3 linked regions of the Tribolium castaneum genome follow. The protein of the gene in region 1 purifies or fractionates together with the protein of each later gene. This does not show direct contact. Links are inferred from orthologs where the notes say so. Each region holds a gene or a part of one and is shown in the gene's direction. Other genes may lie near its edges. The genes, in order: Hsp83, activator of 90 kDa heat shock protein ATPase homolog 1 and PpD3.

Region 1 (4,843 bases):
GGATTGGGTAGCGGCATTACAGCGTACCTGCAATGAAACTAAAAGCGTTTTACAGAAATTAGAAGAGGGCGATCAGGCAACGCACTCTAAATTTACGTTATGCAATGGTCGTGTTTATCGGGTAAAAGATGGAAAGTGGCGATTGTATGTACCTGTCGATTTAAGATTTGATATAATTAGTAACGCTCATAGAGAACTTATGCATTTGGGAATAGATAAAACGTTGGACAAAATAAAAGAGAGCTACTATTTTCCAAAAATGCGGGAAGAGGTAGGAAAATATATCAATCGATGCATTAACTGTTTGTATAGTAAGACACCGCGCGGGAGGCAACCGGGAATGCTGCACCCGTTAGACAAAGGCAGTACTCCGTTTCAGGTGGTGCATATCGACCATTTGGGCCCTTTTCCGTCAAGTAAAACAGGAAACAAATACGTATGCGCTATTATAGACGGCTTTAGTAAGTACACAGTATTAAAAGCGCTGCCGGATGTAGGAGCCGAGGGAACTCTTAGTTTTTTGAAAGAATTCGTTTCTAATTATGGAAAGCCCAATAAAATAATTAGCGACAGAGGTACAGCGTTCATTTCGAAGTTGTTCGAAAAATTTTGCGGTGATTGTGAAATCCAACACGTAAAAATTGCAACAGCAAGTCCTAGATCGAATGGACAAGTGGAGAAAGTAAACGACGTGATAATAACATGCTTAAGTACAAGTACGGATGACATAGAAGGTAGTGATTGGGACGAAAAATTAAGCGAAGTACAATGGGCTATTAATAATGCAACCCATTCGGTCACTAAAAGAACGCCTTTTAGTTTGGTCCGGACATACACGCGAGACGGGTTCACTAATAATCCGTTAGCAGCCGAAATACGCGATTTAAATACACGCTTAAATACGGAAGAAGAGCAAAATTTAGTTGCGGATCGGCTGAAAAGAAATGCGGATCGTATGTGCGCGAATTTTAATAAATCGCGGCGTCAGGCTAGGGTTTTCAAGCAAGGGGATTTGGTGTTGGTACGGGCTGAGGTACCGTCGACCGGCCAAAGTCGTAAATTGAGCCCTAAGTATCGAGGACCCTATGAGATTGTTAAATTTATAGGGAATGATAGATATTTAGTGCAAGATATAGAAGGCGAACAACAAAGTAGTCGCTTCTATAAAGGAATTATTTCTGTAGACAGATTAAAATTAGTTAGTAATTTAGAGGAGTAATAATTAAGATAAAGTAGGTTGTACAAGTGTTAAGGGTAATGTTAAATTTTTATCGGAATTTTATTATTAGAAAAATTTGGGGACATAAGTAGAGTGTTTAGTTTCGTTATTTTAAGTTATGGTAAGTGTCATTAGGGGAATGAGTGATTAGATGGTTGGGATGTGTTCTCGAGGACGAGAACATTGTCAGGAAAGGCCGAGTTGATATGAATTCGTAGAATTGTAAGGGATGCTTGGGAGGTCCGAATGGTTAGTGTGTGTGAGGGCTTTTAGGGCGAGTGTGAAAGATGGGAAACATGTGTTAAAGATGAATGCCGAATGTCTGGATTTTTAGAAAATAAGTTAGTCTGTAACTGGCTTTTGTAGAGTAAAGTAAAATTAAAAGGTCCTGTTGAGAAGATCGTAGTTTATTTACCCTATAATCCTGACGTAATAAATTATAAACTATAACACAAATAAAACGGATTTTTCTAGAAAAATCAATAACGGTATTGCAGATTTCGAATTTCGCGCCCGATTTAGCGGAAGCAACTCATGTTCTGTCCTTGTCTATGGAAGGTTTCGAAGCGTCGGAAAGCGTCTAGATTCTTCTCGAATAATCTAGAACGCAGAAGGCTATAAAAGCAACCGAACAAACACGAATCGCTCAGAGTTGAAAAAGCAAGCGCTAAGTGAAGAGCTAAGAAGCGACAAATTTTCCAAGTGATAATTTTCCCAAAGCAATTTTCAAGTGATTTGTTCGTGTGTGCATTAATTTAAGCAAGGTAGGTGCAAATTTTCCGATTTTCCGGCCGTTTTCAGTCAAGGTTATGTCACGCCGGTGTTTGACCCCCAAGTCTGGGAAATCGTACGTTTTTCGCTAGGCTGCGGTTATTTGAGACGAGTTTATTAATCCTTTGACTATTTTTTCGAATTTGAAGACCGTTTTAGAGTTTTCCCGTTTTTTGTGTGGTTTTCTGCCAAGGTTATTCAGAGCGGTCTTTGACATTGCTACGAAATTTAATCAAATTTTCCGGACTTTTCCACGTTGTTCGGTGTCCGATTAGTCATTTTTTAGTGATTCATGAGTTCGGTGAAATTTCAAGGTCGAATTTAATTGCAGATGCCGGAAGAAAACCAAAATGGAGATGTGGAAACCTTCGCCTTCCAGGCGGAAATCGCCCAGTTGATGAGTCTGATCATCAACACCTTCTACTCGAACAAGGAAATTTTCCTTCGGGAGTTGATTTCCAATTCGTCAGATGCGTTGGATAAAATCCGTTACGAGTCCTTGACCAACCCTTCCAGACTCGATTCAGGCAAAGAACTCTACATCAAGATCATCCCTAACAAGAATGACGGGACCTTGACCATTATTGACACCGGGATCGGGATGACTAAAGCCGATTTGGTCAATAACTTGGGCACCATCGCCAAGTCCGGCACCAAAGCCTTCATGGAGGCCCTCCAAGCTGGGGCTGACATCAGCATGATCGGTCAATTCGGTGTTGGTTTCTACTCGGCTTACTTGGTAGCAGACAAGGTCACAGTCGTTTCGAAGAATAACGATGATGAGCAATACGTTTGGGAGTCGTCAGCTGGTGGTAGCTTCACTGTAACACAAGACCGTGGCGAGCCTTTGGGCCGTGGCACCAAGATTGTCCTTCACATGAAAGAGGACCAAACCGAATTTTTGGAAGAACACAAAATTAAAGAAATTGTAAAGAAACACTCGCAGTTCATTGGCTATCCCATCAAATTGGTCGTGGAGAAGGAACGCGAGAAGGAGTTGAGCGACGATGAGGCCGAAGAAGAGAAGAAGGAGGAAGAAGGCGAAGACAAGGATAAAGATAAGCCAAAGATTGAGGATGTAGGCGAGGACGAAGATGAAGACACGAAGAAGGAAGATAAGAAAAAGAAGAAGACTATTAAGGAGAAATACACAGAAGATGAAGAATTGAACAAAACCAAGCCGATTTGGACAAGAAACGCTGACGATATCAGTCAGGAAGAATACGGAGAGTTTTACAAATCGTTGACTAATGATTGGGAGGACCATTTGGCCGTCAAACACTTTAGTGTTGAGGGTCAATTGGAGTTCCGTGCCCTCCTCTTTGTCCCACGTCGCGTTCCATTCGATCTTTTCGAAAATAAGAAGCGCAAGAATAATATTAAATTATACGTGAGGAGGGTTTTCATTATGGACAACTGCGAAGAACTCATCCCCGAATATTTGAACTTTATCAAGGGTGTCGTCGATTCGGAAGACTTGCCTTTGAACATTTCCCGTGAGATGTTGCAACAAAATAAGATCTTGAAGGTCATTCGTAAGAATTTGGTCAAGAAATGCCTAGAGTTGTTCGAGGAGTTGGCCGAGGATAAGGACGGCTACAAGAAATTCTACGAACAGTTCTCGAAGAATATTAAATTGGGTATTCATGAAGACTCGCAAAACCGGGCCAAATTGTCCGAATTGCTCCGTTATCACACTTCTGCAAGTGGCGATGAGGCTTGCTCTTTGAAGGACTACGTGAGCCGCATCAAGCCTAACCAGAAACACATTTATTACATTACTGGCGAAAGCAAGGAGCAAGTGGCGAATTCGTCGTTCGTTGAGAGGGTCAAGAAGCGCGGTTTCGAGGTCGTTTACATGACTGAGCCCATTGATGAATACGTCGTACAACAAATGAAAGAATTCGACGGCAAAACTCTCGTTTCGGTCACAAAGGAAGGTCTCGAATTGCCTGAAGACGAAGAAGAGAAGAAGAAGCGCGAAGAAGACAAAGCCAAATTTGAAGGACTTTGCAAGGTTATGAAGAGTATCCTCGATAATAAGGTTGAGAAGGTCGTGGTATCGAACCGTCTAGTCGAATCTCCCTGCTGTATTGTTACGTCGCAGTATGGCTGGACCGCCAACATGGAACGTATCATGAAAGCCCAAGCTTTGAGAGACACCTCCACTATGGGCTACATGGCGGCCAAGAAACACCTCGAAATCAACCCCGACCATTCAATCATCGAGAATTTGAGGCAGAAGGCTGAGGCTGATAAGAATGACAAGGCTGTTAAAGACTTGGTTATTCTTTTGTTTGAAACCGCTTTACTCAGCTCTGGGTTCACCTTGGATGAGCCTCAAGTCCACGCATCCAGGATCTACAGGATGATCAAGCTGGGTCTGGGTATTGATGAGGAGGAAGCCATGATCACCGAAGATGCACAAGGAGGCGATGCACCCTCTGCTGATGCCGCCGAGTCCGAGGACGCGTCGAGGATGGAGGAAGTTGATTAAGTGTTCGAATGTTAGGACATGTGTTCTAGTATGTTCTAATTGTCATTCCTAGTGTTTTTTTATATTTCTTAATTATTTTTATAAAAAATGAAGTATTATTTTGGCGGCCTACCGCCGCCGTGTTAACACCTGTAAAAGTCTGAGTTCGTTTTTTGTGAATAAAATTGATTTAATTAATTTCTTGGTTTTATTTGAACGCCTTTAACAAATAATTGTTGAAAAGCAAAAAATCCATCACAAATTGGGCTTGGCTTCGCAAAATCAAGTCACGTGACACATTTGACAGATGTTTGAGTGAATCTTAACCTTAAAAATGGAACCGGACGAAAAACACAAGAGCCAAAAGCCGGCCCCTA
Region 2 (3,987 bases), on another chromosome or scaffold:
TTAACGAATAAGTAACCTTTTCTTTTTCACTTATCATTATCAGTCATATAAATGAAATTAGAGTTTCTAACTACAGCTGACGTAGTGACGTCTAAAGCGAACTAGTACCTTTTGTTTCAATAAACTTAAGAAAAAATTCTTGTTTAGATTAATTTTTTAGAAATAATATTTTTGGATGATGATAAGTGATAACTGATAAATAACTAACAAAATTTTGTAAGCGATTTTTTTATTTTTGAAAGGTGTTTTTGTACAGCTCGTGTGACCTGAATTCAGTAGTAGCCACAGTTTCTTTAAGATATTGTTCATAAATAAAAAAATATATTATAATTTTTTTATAGTTATTGTTATTAATAATACAAGTGCGCAACCACAAGCTTAAAGTTTTAGACACCCAAGAACTTTAAGTGTTTTCGCATAAGTGTTATTCAAAATGTTTTTTGTATTAAATTATTTTTTTTTGTTTTAATTTTTTTAATTTTAAATTTAAACGTGTTTTCAATAAAATTTAAATCACGTTGCTGTGGAAAGCGTGTTTTTATATTAAATTTAAAACACGTTGATATGGGAAACAAAATTTAAAATAGTGTTTATAATCTAGATATAAATAATTCAGATATTAAAAAAAAGGTTTAAAATGTTTACAAAACATTTTCGGGAAAAATATTATTTTCAAATATTAGGTGACATATATTTCGAGTGATACCTCATTCGCTGTTCAAAAAAAAAAATACGCCTGGAAGTATTTTTTTTATGGACCAACAGTATTATATTCTCATTCCACAGGGTTTCGCGTGGATGTTATGCTGTTGTAACTAGCATGTGTCTCTAAGGAGAGTTGGTAAAATTCTCAGTAAAGGTGCAAAAACCAAATGGATTTATTTCATTTTTTGAAATAAGTAATAATTACTGCTATGTAGATTTTTTCGAAAACTTGATGTGATTCAGAAAAAGTGGTGGTGGATTTATTATCAACATCACCAATTAGTAAGAAATAACAACAATATTATTGGAAGCACCAAAAGTCATCTCGGCCTGTGTAATTAGTAAAATTCTTTTGACTTATAATAATTAGGTAAATCATAATTTAATTATAACTCAAAAGTAGATGTATTGAGATTTTGTCCCGAACAAGCTTGTGATTTTTTCGTTTGCATTTTTGCTTCTTAATATAAGAATGATAATTAGTTTAGTAGTAACAAAATTTAAGAAGTATAGAAAATTGCTGATGCTGACCATCAGCATTTTTTCCAAAAGAATGATCGTAATTAGTGTTTTTTTGGCGTTATAATTTTTTTTAATTTTTTTATATAAAACACAAATTATTTGTTGTTTTGTTTTTTCGTTTTTTTTAAATATCTTTTAACTTAAAAAAAAATTGAAATTAAGCAATTGTGGAATTAGTATAGACAACACAAAATACACAAGTGTGTAATTCACATTTCTGCCATCTGCTCAAATTTTCTGAAACTAAAATTGACAATTTGCCATTCGCTAAATTCCGATGGTGAAGAAATTCTAGAAAAATCTTCACACTTATAGAAAAGAAGACTTGAAATTGATAGAACATTCGTCAAAGTGCATTACTGGAGGCTTCGTGTGTCTTGTGAATCGAGAGCAGTTCCATTCATTAATTTTTTAATTTACCGAATTGTACTCACTGGGAAAAGGCGCTCATTTTATTATACCTGCAGTTTACAGGTAAATCATTAATTATTTCGCCCAAATTTGCTTATTTTTCTGTGCGGAAACTCTAGTTTGAGTGTATAACAGGCGAGATCACCTTTTTTTCGTCTTTTTCTACACTTAACCTAAAAACACAATGGCCAAATGGGGCGAGGGTGACCCACGATGGATTGTGGAAGAACGACCAGACGCAACAAATGTCAACAACTGGCACTGGACGGAAAAAAATGCCGGTCCTTGGTCAGTGGAACGCATAAAAGAGTTATTTAAAGGTGTGCCAGTAAAAACTGACTTAGCAGACATTCAGTTCACAGAGATAGATAAATGTGAAGGGGAGGCTTCTGCTAATAATAGGAAAGGCAAGCTCATATTTTTTTACGAGTGGGATTTGAGCATTAAGTGGACTGGAAAGTTGAAAAATGGGAGCAAAAGCTACTCAGGCAAGGTGAAAATACCCAACCTTTCCGAGGAAAATGATGTCTCAGAGCTGGATGTAAGTGATATTCTATCTTTTCTTATTTGAAATTGTGTTGGCAACGCTGTACTATCTGGTGATTGATGTTGCCAACTTAATTTCAAAGTCGTAGCTTACTTTGACCTGATACATTTTTTGTGCAGATCAAGGTTTCTGTGAAAGATTCGGACGAGGAGGGCGACAAGCTGAAGGAAATTATGTTGAAATCCTGCAAAGATGTCGTCCGACACCAACTCACCAAATACATTTCGAGTTTAAAAGAAGAATTTTCCAAAGGCATGATTTTGCCGAAAAAAGATGAGGTCAAACCAGACGCGGTCAAAAATCTTTCGAGTGGTTTTAACAAAAAAATCAGCATGACACCAGTCGTCAGCGAAAATAACAAACAAATCGGACTTAAACTAGACGTAACAACGATAAACATAACTCAACAGTTTCAATGTCGGGCGCAAGAATTTTACGATGCTTTGACAAAAATCGAAATGGTGACGGCGTTTACCAGGGCACATGTAAAAATGGATGCTTCTAAAGGCGGTAAATTCGAATTATTCAACGGAAATATTGTTGGGCAGTTTGATGAGTTGGTACCAGGGAAAAAAATCGTGCAACAGTGGAGGTATAAACAGTGGCCTGAGGGCCACTATTCAACTGTAACTTTCAATATTAATGAAAAGGTATTTCGATGATTTCTGGTTTTATTGTTTTTTCTTATTTTATTTTTTTAGAGTGATCACACTGAAGTCAATGTGGTACAATCAGGCGTACCAACAGGTGAAGCAGAAGTTACTAAGGAAAACTGGCAGAGGTACTACTGGGACTCCATGAAGCGGGCGTTTGGTTTTGGAGCATTCATTGTTTAATGTTAATTGTACATTATTAGAACCAATTATTTTTATAGTTACGAACCAGCCACTTTTTACAGCATAGTGTATACTTAATTTATTTGAAAAGCTTCAACATTTTGTTACAACATATTTGTAAAATTACTGTGAGGACGAATAAAATTTGAACACCACTGTTTTATTCAAACGCTGCGCTAATACATTACGCAGGCAGCTATGAACGTTGCCAACGTAAACCGAATCTACACAAAAGTAAATTCTTTCTTGTGAATTATGAGTATTATGACTTGCTAGAAAAAAAGGGGGCGCAATATCATTTCCAACACATCAGCCAAGTGTGTTTTCCTAATTTTATCTATTCTATTAAATAATTCTTGCACCAACCTCTAATTCCAAAAGTTACTGTTGTATTGATTTTGTGATACCACGTGACTCTTCCGCACTGTCACTTGTGAATTAATTTTGGTTTTTGAAAAAAAATGAATTCAAATAAAGTCACAATTAAATTAAAAATCCGCAGATACGAGACTGGTAAGTAGGTAAAAAATTAGTTTGTAAGCGTTCGTTACAAATTAATTTAGGACTCCCTGAAATTACTGAAAAAATAATGGAAGTCAGTCCAGATTTGGAATACAATGCTTTGAAGAAGGAAATTCACGACATTTGTGAGATAGGGCCTGAGGATAACAAAGTAATCAAACTGCGACGTGATGACGAGGTCCTGATCCCTCTCTCATTCTTGTTGGAATCAAGTGATCCTGACAAGTATGAAAAGGTTACAAAAACACTTGTTCGCCCATAATTGTGGTTTTTAGGTACTTTTTCATTGACATTTGCAAGATTAATTATGCAAGTGAGTACCACTGAACTAAGTTTGCAAGCCTGAATAAAAACAATGTCAGTGTCGCCAACCTAACTTGATTTTAATTGTTTATGCAGATAAGGCAACAGCCAGCCTCCTCCAAGACGCATACATCGATTCCG
Region 3 (4,665 bases), on another chromosome or scaffold:
CAAGTCGTTGAGCATTGTTAAGGAAAAATTCGGCTCGATTTACTTCGATGTAGCTGAGCCGATATCAGCGAAGAAGTTCTTTGGGCCGGATTTGGACCGAACCTTGCATAATTTGCAACCAATTCACATGCAAGAAATCACCGACTATGAAAAGAAATTAATTCCGTCGCTGGCGCATGAGATTGTTTACAAACAACAAAAGCATTGTATTATAACACCGTTTAATTTATTGGCCATTGTTTTGCACAATAATTTAACGAGTGGAAGGAATCTTTTGAGTGTTGATGAGATTATTGACGAGATTTTGGGGCTGAAAAAAGTCATTGAAAAGTTCGGAGCTTACGTCTTCATGGATGACCCAAGAAAATGCGTGCTAGAGGCTTTAGAAGTCCACAACAATTTCGTCAGAGTTAATGAGGAAGGAAAAGTCACTCTGGTCTGGGATGAAATCGTTGTGGGCAAAGTCAATGTATCCAAATTGAAAGCTCACGAACTCTCAGAAAAGACAATCACGTTTTCGGTTCCGTTTATGCTCTTACAAATTTATATTAACCCGACTTTGCATTATTTCGTGGACTTGGCCGTCTTAGTACTGATCGTAAAACACCAAAGGGCCCAAAGTCAAGGTAATTTTTGAGTTGAGTTAAAATTGTAGTTAGAATCTTCCACTAAATAGCATGTGGGTAATTGCATTCTTTCTGTACAGATGAACTTTTTGCGAATTATCACTTTCTGAGGTCTCTGTTGTCCCAGGAGTTTGTTACTTTTAACACCAGGGAAAAAATGGTGTGTGGGTTTTTCTTTTCGATACAGTGGAACCTCTACGATCCGAACTTTGTCTTTCTACATTTGAATTTCTCGTTTTTGTTATTTTTTAAAACTCTTGGCTTTGTTCGGCTTAGAGAGGTTACACTGTAGTTTTATTTTTTAATATTGCAGCTTCACCAGTGAGTTATTTCTTTTAGGAATTCACTTCAGCGTTAGCACATGCGGTCGATTTAAATTTATTGAGCAGAAACCAAGAATTATATGATCTCGGTGAAAATAAACAGTTGGAAGAAATTATTTATAACTGTATTGATTGTTTTATTTTTACTTATTTTGTGGTGTGTTCGGTTATTTTGGAGGTAAATTACTTAACTTGTGCTGCATTTTTTATAAACTATTATTACAGTTATCACGTGTTATTGAAGAGAAAACAATTTTGGCCAAAGTTCAGGAAGAAATTGAAATAAAGATAAATGAAGGTAAAGGATTTATCCATCCTTATTCCTTAAGTTTGGACACAATTACCAATTGTTTGAATGCGCTTGCGGGTCAAAATGTTTTGACAAAAAGTAGAAAGTACGGGTTTTATTGTTTTTTTCTTCGAAATTAATTGATTGTTCTAGGAGCGGCAGTGTTACTTATGAAATTAATGATACTAAAGTATTATTTATTAAAAATAGATTAGGTGAGTTTGGCCATTTATGTGTATTTGCCCTAAGTGTGTATATTTTCAGAGCAATATGTGACTCCGGCACAGGTGCTCCAAGAGAAATTCGAAAGTGTTCAGCTCCACTTAAAAAATAAGCTTTAAAAGCTAATGACTGTTTTTATGTTAAAACCAAGCCAAAGGTGTTAAAATTGAGTATTTTGGTGTGATTTTTAATAAATTGTTTTGAGTAATGGCAGTTGTTTGAATATGGCGGGCGTGTTTATGTTGGCAACTCCAGCGCAAACACAAATCCTCTATTTTTTTACCTTGATAAGTAATGAAGGGATTTTAAAGACTTTTTCATCCAATTTCTAAAACTAAGGTACAAAATTAAATAAAAATGAACACAGAAGTTAAAGAAAACTGTGTTATTACCCCCGAACTAGTTGAAGCCGGCGAGCGCTACAAAGCCGAAGCGAACGAGTACTTTAAAAGTAAGTTCCCCTCGTTATTTACTCAAAACCCACATGATTTGCAAAATAACAACCTCATACTCAATTCATTTAGCCGTATTTCGCGATTCCGCTCGAATTCGCTGCGAGAATTTCGCAAATTCCGGCGTGAATTTGACATAACCCCACTTTTTTTCCTCAATTTCAGAACAAAATTACAACGCCGCTATAGAACTTTACACTAAAGCAATCGAAGCAAATCCGAATGTTGCGATCTATTACGGGAATCGCAGTTTTGCCTACTTGAAAACTGAGTGCTTCGGCTACGCTTTAGCCGATGCTTCGAAGGCAATTGAGCTGGACAAAGGCTACGTTAAGGGGTTTTACAGGCGGGCGGCGGCCCACATGAGCTTGGGCAAGTTTAAGGAGGCCCTGAAGGACTACGAATATGTAAGTTGCGGCCCCTTTGTGGCACATTGTAGCCCTAAATTGGCCCTAGGTGACAAAAGTGAGACCTAATGACAAAGACGCCAAGTCCAAATATACGGAGTGTAACAAAATAGTGAAGAAATTGGCCTTCGAGAAGGCCATTTCGGTCGAAGATACCAAAAAGAATATCGCCAGTACTATTAATTTAGATGCAATGAGTAAGTTTTTATTTGGGGGGAAAACACATTTGTGAATGTTTTCACAGCAATAGAGAACGAGTACACGGGGCCTGAGCTTGAGGATGGAAAAGTGACTTTAAAATTCATGAAGGATTTAATGGAATTGTACAAGAATCAAGGCAAGCTGCACAGGAAATACGCCTACAAAGTAACACTTCGCCCTTTGATTCAAGACGTGTTAATTTTTTATTTTAGATTTTGTTGGATGTTAAGGCGTATTTTATGAAACAGCCGTCACTGATTGATGTTGAGATTGGTGATGAGGATAAGTTTACTGTTTGTGGTGATGTCCATGGTCAATTCTACGACCTTATGAACATTTTTAACTTGAACGGTTTACCGTCTGAAACAAATCCCTACCTCTTCAATGGAGACTTTGTTGACAGAGGTTCATTTTCTGTTGAATGTATTTTTACCCTTTTTGGGTTTAAACTGTTGTATCCGAATCACTTTTTCATGTCCAGAGGTATAATTACGCACCTTTTGGACTATTATTATTTTATTTTCTTTACACAGGAAATCACGAAAGCGCTACAATGAACCAAATGTATGGTTTCGATGGCGAGGTCAAGGCTAAATACACCGCTCAAATGGCTGAACTTTTCACTGAGGTTTACAACTGGTTACCACTAGCTCACTGTTTGAATAAAAGAGTTCTTGTAAGTGATATTAAAAAAAACTTGGACTATTTCGATGGTTTGGTTTAAAAAATCTCGTGAAATAACTCAGGATAAGCTTAAATAACCGAACTTTAGACATAATTTGGTGATCTTATTGCCTCATTTTTAACGAAATTTTACAAAATAATTGGCTTCTGACTTTTCTCAAATGGTTTTAGGGAAATTTTTCAAAATAACCTTTAGTTTTTAAATAAAATACAAGCTTAAACACCCCAATAAGGCAAATTCAAACCATTTTTGGTAAAATTTGCGATTTTGGAGCTTTGTATTTGACGAAATTTCTGGCAACTATTGCTATGAGAAAAATTTATAGGTGATGCATGGCGGTCTGTTTTCGACTGACGATGTTACCTTAAGTGAAATTAGTAAAATTGACCGCAACAGACAGCCCCCCGAAGACGGCCCCATGTGTGAGCTGCTTTGGTCAGACCCTCAGACTCAGAATGGACGCGCGCCCAGTAAAAGAGGAGTTGGATGTCAATTTGGACCAGATGTTACGAAGAGGTTTTTGGAATTAAATAAACTGGATTACATCATTAGAAGTCATGAAGTGAAAAATAACGGATACGAAGTCGCTCATGATGGAAAATGTATCACTGTGTTTTCCGCTCCTAACTATTGGTAAATTAATTTTCGAAAAAATGTTTTTCTTAATTATTTTTTTAGTGATACCATGGGTAATCAAGGTGCTTTTATTACATTAAAAGGAAAAGATATGGAGCCTAAGTTTACTACATATGAAGCAGTGGTATGTGTTGTACATTTTTTAATTTAAAACCTACATTTTTGTTCTTCCAGCCCCATCCAAACGTAAAACCAATGGCGTACGCACACTCTTTACTAAGTTTAATGTGCTAGTACCTGCCTTTTTAATGTAGTTAACGTAGGCATTTCATCACTTTTATTTTTTTGTATTAAAATGAGTTTTTATTGTTTCTGTTATTTAATTTTGTATCATAATCGAAAAGATACCTCTAGACTTAAAGTAAATAAAATATTTATTTATTACCAAGTTTCCTTCATTGTGACTTATACAATAGCAATAAAAATTCTACTACACTTTTTACACGTCTTTTATTTAATCACCACGATCAGCACTAATGTAGCGGACCAGAAAGTTCCCACTACACACAAGTTTTGAATTCTGGCGCTCAGAAAGCTTGGTGATTTCTGTTTATTGGGTTGGCGAGCTGCGTGTCAAACTAAGCGCGCGAAAAAGTTTGTTGTGTCAAGTTAGGTTAATGTTTCTCTTTAAAAAATGGAAATAACAGAAGATAAATTAAGTGAACATTCAGAAGATGAAAACGAAATGAATACACTGAACGTGAACAAAGTACGAAAAAAGCACAATGTTATTGATAGCGACTCAGAAGCTGAAGAAAATGATTTGAACGAGAAGGCGCCCCCAGCATTGGCAGAGCCCTCAGATGACGAGGAAAAAACTTCCA

What was found.
Region 2: the proteins of Hsp83 (region 1) and activator of 90 kDa heat shock protein ATPase homolog 1 fractionate together in Caenorhabditis elegans (co-fractionation; 3 studies listed by BioGRID, with this or other methods). This does not show direct contact. The link is inferred for Tribolium castaneum from reciprocal best matches to the Caenorhabditis elegans genes hsp-90 and ahsa-1.
Region 3: the proteins of Hsp83 (region 1) and PpD3 fractionate together in Caenorhabditis elegans (co-fractionation; 3 studies listed by BioGRID). This does not show direct contact. The link is inferred for Tribolium castaneum from reciprocal best matches to the Caenorhabditis elegans genes hsp-90 and pph-5.

Annotation. Positions count from the first base shown.
Region 1 is NC_087398.1:3,475,545-3,480,387, reverse strand, and holds Hsp83 (heat shock protein 90), read left to right. Parts: upstream 1-1,875; 5' UTR 1,876-1,983; intron 1,984-2,321; coding exon 2,322-4,487; 3' UTR 4,488-4,664; downstream 4,665-4,843. Other genes in the region: GPI transamidase component PIG-S, read left to right, coding at 4,801-4,843. UniProt on the Caenorhabditis elegans protein: Molecular chaperone that promotes the maturation, structural maintenance and proper regulation of specific target proteins involved for instance in cell cycle control and signal transduction. Undergoes a functional cycle that is linked to its ATPase activity.
Region 2 is NC_087397.1:10,675,478-10,679,464, reverse strand, and holds activator of 90 kDa heat shock protein ATPase homolog 1, read left to right. Parts: upstream 1-1,468; 5' UTR 1,469-1,701; intron 1,702-1,757; exon of another isoform or gene 1,758-1,773; 5' UTR 1,774-1,822; coding exon 1,823-2,179; intron 2,180-2,304; coding exon 2,305-2,835; intron 2,836-2,886; coding exon 2,887-3,021; 3' UTR 3,022-3,176; downstream 3,177-3,987. Other genes in the region: uncharacterized protein LOC103315037, read left to right, coding at 3,483-3,534, 3,585-3,768, 3,819-3,856, 3,943-3,987.
Region 3 is NC_087396.1:11,944,532-11,949,196, reverse strand, and holds PpD3 (serine/threonine-protein phosphatase 5), read left to right. Parts: upstream 1-1,716; 5' UTR 1,717-1,817; coding exon 1,818-1,911; intron 1,912-2,077; coding exon 2,078-2,319; intron 2,320-2,368; coding exon 2,369-2,516; intron 2,517-2,563; coding exon 2,564-2,685; intron 2,686-2,732; coding exon 2,733-3,003; intron 3,004-3,053; coding exon 3,054-3,196; intron 3,197-3,530; coding exon 3,531-3,838; intron 3,839-3,883; coding exon 3,884-3,965; intron 3,966-4,015; coding exon 4,016-4,075; 3' UTR 4,076-4,281; downstream 4,282-4,665. Other genes in the region: Gnpat (dihydroxyacetone phosphate acyltransferase), read left to right, coding at 1-626, 707-786, 966-1,127, 1,175-1,344, 1,392-1,453, 1,503-1,579; claspin, read left to right, coding at 4,476-4,665.